2 linked regions of the Canis lupus familiaris genome follow. The protein of the gene in region 2 purifies or fractionates together with the protein of the main gene of each other region. This does not show direct contact. Links are inferred from orthologs where the notes say so. Each region holds a gene or a part of one and is shown on either strand. Other genes may lie near its edges. The genes, in order: ARMCX3 and RANBP6.

Region 1 (2,529 bases), on a different chromosome or scaffold from region 2:
CAATGACTTTAAGCCAATCAGTTTCTGATCCTTTTATCTAATATAGACAACATTAAGATAGGTATATGGAAGCCTGGGGCTGGAAGCAGATGGTAACTGAACAGAGGATTTTACCCTTTCCTGATCTCACTAGGAATATGTTGTAGAGGTTGGTGGGATCATGTCTGAGGAAATACTGAGTCCTTGGAAGTAAGAAAACCTTATTCCTTTGAGAAGTTATTTTAACAGTTGTCTTGCAGGAATGACAGAACTCTACACACTAGTCACTTAATAAATGCTAACCTTTATTGTTATTATTTACTAAATGACACTGACACACGGCAGAATGCCCCCAGCAAAACAAAGGTCAACCAAAAAAAACCATCAACCCTACATTCTAGGGAGTTAAGGGTGCTCATTTTTCTTAATTAACTGCTCTGTGCCAGGACATTCTAAGTATTTTGCATGTATTATTTAACTTAATCTTCATGACAAGCCCCATCTTCATCACTCGTCTATCATTTCAGAGAGGAAGCTTCAACCTATCTCATTTTTAATCTAAATTGTTTTCTACTCAGTACATGCTCCAATCACCTGCTTCATTCCCAACACTTTCTTTTACAAAAATTTCCAAAAAAACAATATTCATTTCATATAAATGAGAATACATAAATGAATAAAAAGTAAAATGGTAAAGATCATTCATTATCCTTCCACTCAAATATACCAGTTACTGTTTGGATATTTATAATTCCACAGTTTTTTTTTTTTAATTCCACAGTTGTTAATGTCTACTTCAATATATGTTTTACTATCTTTGAAAAAGAAATAGAATCATTCTATGAACACTGCTATCTAACCTACCTTTCTCATTTAACAATGCAGAATGAATATCTTCTCCGGGCAATATGGATTTGAATCGACATATTTATCATATATACCATGTGAACATTCCTTAACTTATTTAACAAATTCAGTGTGCTACACTTAGGTTACTTCCAATTCTTACTGTTTCAGACAATGCTGGGATGAAGAGCCTTGTACATACAGTCTTTAGCCAATTACTCAATTATTTCCTTAGGACAAAGGGTTTTTACATGCTTTAAGGCTTATATGTATTATCAAATGGCCCTCCACAAACCTGTGCAAACTCAGTGTAAACTCATTCCTACAACCAGGGTTTGGTAGGATCCATGTTTCCACACCTTTGCGGACACTGCATAGCTGGTGAGCGAGAGACCTCAATATGAATTCCAATTATTCTTTTTAGTCAAAAATATTTCCTGGCTCTTTGTGTTCAGTGGGATAATATGCAAACAGCTCTCTACAAACTGGCTTCACTCAGCTTTCCAAATTTATTTACTTCCAATCCCCACGCTCTCCACTCTAAGGTGACTAATCTCCTCCCAGTCATAGGAAAAGGCGTCCTACTTCTATGCCTCCTACCTCTAACGCCCCTTCACTCTTGCTTTTGGAAAGCCTAACTACCTAACCCAGTCAGGACTCATTTTCGATGGTTGCTTCCTCCAGAAGTTTGTAGCTATTATATCCCACAGAAGCCTTTGCTTCCTCTATGCTCTGAGAGCACACATTTGACAATGAGCATATGCTCCAGATATTGTTATCTTTTTGTTTGTATATTTCTTATCTCTCCAACTAGATTATAAACCAAGGACATGAATGCTTTCTTTCTTTTTTCTTTCTTTTTTTTCGGCATTAACACACAAGTTTATTGATGATACACGAAGTTAATGCAAATGACAGGAGGGAGCTTACTTATGACCGACCGGTTCACTGTCACGCAAAAGAAATAGTAAAAATATTTCAATCTAGGCAATGAGATAAAAAGCAACAAACATATTTTCAGAATAGGTAGTGATATTCATTCACCCAGTTTAGACTTGAAAACCAACTCAGCATTGATGATACAATGATATTCATCACTCAAAATTGGCAGCTAAAAGGATTCCTTTACCATATAAACAAGGTGGAGAAAAGGAATAGTTTACAATGTGTGTTGCTTCTAAACTACAAAATCAAGAAGTCATTCCTGGCTCTTTGGGAACATACGCTCAGCCAGTTTGGCCATGAATTTTCCAACTTTTACTTTCACCAAAAAATCATGGTGACTTTCTATCCCCAGAATCTTGTCAGCACACCCTTGAAATTCTTTTAAAAAGAAAAACAGTGAACCTTCGCTGAATTGATCCTGAGCAGGTTCAGTTTCTTCACATTTAAAATTGTCATTTATGTTCTCGAATATGACCAGAAGCTTAAGAATAACCTCTTTGTTCTCCTTCTTAGTAAAGAGGGAGCCCAGTGAAGATGGTACTTGGGCTCTGAGCAGTGCCCTAGCCATGGCTGGATTTTCAGCCAAATTCAAAAGGAGTTTCAACACCTGGAATTTGGTTTCTTCATTTCCCGCTGAAAATAAGCGAAAAAAGTCTGAAATGGAATTAGCAAGCATGTGCTGATACTCATTAGTAACAGTCATATTTGTAAGCAATCTTAGTCCAGCCAGCTGCACCGATGAGTTCAAGCGAGAGGTGA
Region 2 (4,546 bases):
TTGCACACTTAATAACTTTTACCAGCAGTGGAACAGCTTCCGAACATAAAGAACGATAATCATCTCCACCAAACTGTGCCATAACACCCAGGCCATAAGCAGCAGCTTGTCTGACTTCAGGGTTATTGTCTCGCATATTTAGTAGCATTGGCCACCTAAAATATTCTACATATTTAAATGAGGTTGGACTGCAGTGCTCTATAATATCATCAAAAATGCACAATCCCCACTGTCTGTCTGGCCATGGCCTACTTGAACAAATTAGATTTACAATTAATGGAAGCAGCTGTTCAAACCACGGTAAAATCTTTTCCTTATAAGTACTAAATAATGAGTGCAAAATATCTGATACTTTGGTCAGAATATAAACATCACATTCATCCTCATCTTGTAGAGACATTTCAACCTGTTGGTCATAGTTTTCTTCCTGTCTTTTAACCTGTCTCAATTCTTGGTTTTTAAAATGCCCTTCAAGTTTTGCTTTCAGTATTTCTCCTAGTTCTTCCAAGTGTTCATCATTAAGGCACCCATCTCCCATTACTTCAATGGATTTTGCAAAAGAATTCATTACTTCTGAGAGTACATCTGTATCAGGTTCAGTCCCAATAGCCTTGATTAAAGGATCACATATGAATTGCCACATCTGTGCAAGATACTCTGGGCCACGAATTCTTGCACATTCCAGGAGAAAAGGCATAGACTCTGCTGCTGCCACTCGAACATTGTCATGGAAATAAAATTTCAATAAAGGAACCATAAGCTTTACAACTTGTTCTGTATATTCCACAAATCCTTCCCCTAATTCCTTAGCATAGTAAACCAACATTTGACAAGCAGTTGCTTTTGCTTCAAGTCCTGAAGTTTTAATTCCAAAACTTTGTTGGTCTCCAAGATTTACAAATTGCCATCCATCATCATCACTCATATTTTCCACATCTTGTGTGTCTAAGAGAGCAACATCAGGTTTTGCTGAAGCAGTCTTAATGAGAGGCTCAATAACCAGTGGAAGATACTGTTGAAAATCACTTCCAAGAATTTTACACATTCTGGCCCATGCTGAAACCATGTAAGATGTCTGAGGGTCATCATCTTCCATATTATTTAAGTCTGATTGTGTCTTCAACAATAGCTGCATCACATTTGATGCATCTTGCATAAATTTTTCCTTCCCAACAGCAAGACCAACATGGCTAATGCACTCAATAGTTTTTCCTTTCAGAAGCTTGAGTTCCTTTTGAATAGCAAGCTCAACAATGTGCTTTAGTGATGGCATAAATATATCATAATATGGAACAAATTTTTCTTCTATTGTATCTGCAACTGAGGCAATGGTTGTCACAAGCTGTTCCAAGGCCAATTTAGTTCCATTCCGAATCAACTCTTGAAGTTTAATCACCAAGATGGAATGTAGATTTCTCACCATACTATCCAAATATAGAACTAGCAATGCTTTGGGGCAGTCTTCTATAAAAATAATAAGTGCAGAAGCCGCATGTGATTGCACACGCTGATTACCTTGATTTTCCATGGTACGCAACAGAGCTGCAATCACTGTTTCATGGAATTTCTTTTGGAAGTTAGGCGCAAAATCTGTAGCCATCTGTCCAAGCGTAGTACAGGCTGCAGCCCTCACCCTTGGGTGAGGATCCTGAAGAAAAAGCAAAACAGAGTTAACTGTTTCATCTAGAATTGATTCCATTTGCTGATGGCATCCTTCTCCAATGGCAGATAAGGCCATTAATCCAGCATGTCGATATTTCCAGTCAGGGCTCTGAAGCATCTGCATGATGTGCTCCTTAGTCATTGGTAAAACAAGTTTTCCACCGAGCCCACAAGCCAGTCTGTCTAGTGCACTCTCAGCAGCAACTGCATTGCTGTCAAAATCATCTTCTTCCATCTCATCAGCATTTACCCAGTCCTCATCATCTTGTAGATCAACCATCATTGCTAATATATGAGGAACTGCCTGTGCAATTATATTTGTATGTTTTTTCAACATTGGGGTTGCAGTTTCAGACAAGGTCACTATTATTTCAAGGGCCAGCTGGCGTTGCAGATTACTAAGTCTAGAGTCTCCACATAACTTCAGACTCAACTGCAGAGTGTCTTCTAAATAAGGACCCAAGTATTTAGGTACAGTATCTGCAATCTCAACAAGGGATTCTAGCACTGAATCATCATCCTGGTAGCATGAGTCACTCACAGCCTGTAAGATTCCAGGAAGCAAGTCTGAAAAGTCTTTGAAAAGAGCAATATTATTCTCATTAGCAAGTACAAATGCAGCTGCAGCTCTAGCAGATAATGTCCTGATTGCTGGATGTTCTTGATCCTGAATGCACTGGTCCAACAACCGTTTGATGATATCCAAATCGTGCCGCTCTTGGTTCCCAAAGATCCCAGGAAAGTGCCAGAAAACATGAAGTGCAACTTCCCATAGAACTACATTTTTAGAGTAGATTGAATCGATAAGGAACTTCAGACCTTCGGGCCAGTGGTTAGTGCCATCCTCATCTATCAAATTCCTGGCCAGCACTGCAAAAATATCACAAAGTTTTTTCCTCATGCTAGCATGTGTTTCTAACTTAACAGCCAGTATCAGTTCAATCTTGACGTCCCTCTGAACATCAGAAGGCAGATTTGGATAGACTTCCTCAAACCCAGAGGACAAAAGCCGTCGTAGCAGTGCGGCAGCCATTTGTCTCACCTCATAACCTGCTCTTCTATTTCTGACAGCATCTAAGAGGAATGTAGTCTTACACAGACCTGGGATATTTTCATAGATTTCCTCTGCCTGCCTCCGCACCATACAGCTTGGATTGATCAAGTTCTTCAGAAGCTGATAAAACTCTTGCTTTCCCGACACAGTAGCCGGTCCCCCTGCAGACACGGCCGCCGCCATCGCGCTCTGTCAGAGAAATCGCGACCGGGAAGGAAAGAGGGGGTCTGCGGCCAGAAGCGGTGACGTCAGCGGAGCGCCGGCGGGGATGGGCGGGGCCGCTGGCCCAGGCGGCCGGCGGTTTGGCTGCGCGGCGGGGGTGGGCCGCCGGGCGTCCGGGGATAGCAGGATGCGGTGGGGGCGGCCGCCGTCCTCCAGCTGTTGGCCAATCAGATTTAAAAAAAAAAAAAAAAAGCACTTGCGGAAAGAGAGAGAGAGAAAAAAAAGAAAATTATGATATTGAACGTATTAGAATGGGATTATGGGTGATTTTTCCGGCTTTATTTCTAAACTGTTGTTACCCTGATAATTTTAAAACGATAATTACATCTTGAAAACTCCCCAGGTGAAAAGCCAGTCACAAAAGGCCAAATATTGTATGATTCCATTTATAGTAAAGGTCTTGAAAAGGCAAATCTATATAGTAGATTAGTGGTTGCCAGAGGCAGTGGGAACGAGAGAATGTAAAATGACTGCTGTCAGGTAATGGGTTTCTTTTGGAGTAATGAAATGTTCTAAAATTAATTGTGGTAATGGTTGCACAACTCCGTGATTATACTTAAAATCACTGCATTATACAATTGAAACTGGTGAATTGTATAGTATGAATAATAATACCTCAATAAATCCGTTTATCAAGTAAGTGCGATAAAAGATAATGATTACCATCCCACTACCACATCTAATGAGTAAGAACAGTGGTGCTCAAACTCTAGTGTGTCAATCACCTGGCCTATGGATGATAATAAAGAATGAGGAAGACAACTAAATATAGTGGACAGTGACCTGGGCTAGTAATCAGAAGACTTGAATCCTGGTCTTATCTGTATATTAATTTTGTATCCGTGGTCATGTCACTCAAGGTTTTCTTTGTATATTGCCTAACTTAAAATGCTTTTACAGTTTTCCTTTTAGTAGGAAGATGCTGAGATTATTCCAAGAAACAAATGCCCCTGAAGCTAAATATTATTTCTTTAAGCAGATGAATCAATCAAAAACAACGATCATTCCTCTAACAATGATTAAATCGTATTTGTATTAGCACTTTGCCACTGTGTAATTTTGAACCTTACACAGGTTTGCAAATCTGGTAGGCTGGATATAATACTAATTTTAGGTAATTAATAGAAACTCAGAGAAGTTAAGGGACCTGCCTAAGATGGCACAGCTGAATATCAAATCCACTTCTGAAAGGAACACCAATGATCTTCCACCATGCCACTTCCCCATAATCGCTCTTGGTTTTGCAAATGATCAGAGGTCTTCACTTATTGCAAAATCTATTGTAAATTTCTCCAAGCGGGCTTAATTTTAATTTTGTAAAATGCTACTGCATATACCCACAGAGATAGAAGATCCAGCTTTAAGATTAGCCAGATGATAGACAAAACAGTCTCATAAATTACATTGTAATATGCAATACTATACTCATTTAGGAAGAAGTATTACTCTCTAAACTGTTTCTCATTCTGTGGACTTAAAACCGACAGCATCAGAATCACTTGAGGTACTTACTTTTAAATATACATATTAGGGCCCAAGATCTAAACTACTGAAGCAGAATTTCTGGGGAATGCAACCCAAGAATGTTTAATTTTAACAACATACTGG

Evidence for each region.
Region 1: the proteins of RANBP6 (region 2) and ARMCX3 purify together in Homo sapiens (co-immunoprecipitation; 3 studies listed by BioGRID and IntAct, counting the BioPlex papers as one, with this or other methods). This does not show direct contact. The link is inferred for Canis lupus familiaris from reciprocal best matches to the Homo sapiens genes RANBP6 and ARMCX3.

What each region holds. Positions count from the first base shown.
Region 1 is NC_049260.1:75,895,720-75,898,248, reverse strand, and holds part of ARMCX3 (armadillo repeat-containing X-linked protein 3), read right to left. Parts: coding exon 2,024-2,529; 3' UTR 1-2,023. UniProt on the Homo sapiens protein: Regulates mitochondrial aggregation and transport in axons in living neurons. May link mitochondria to the TRAK2-kinesin motor complex via its interaction with Miro and TRAK2.
Region 2 is NC_049232.1:27,101,118-27,105,663, forward strand, and holds the start of RANBP6 (ran-binding protein 6), read right to left. Parts: upstream 2,955-4,546; 5' UTR 2,900-2,954; coding exon 1-2,899. UniProt on the Homo sapiens protein: May function in nuclear protein import as nuclear transport receptor.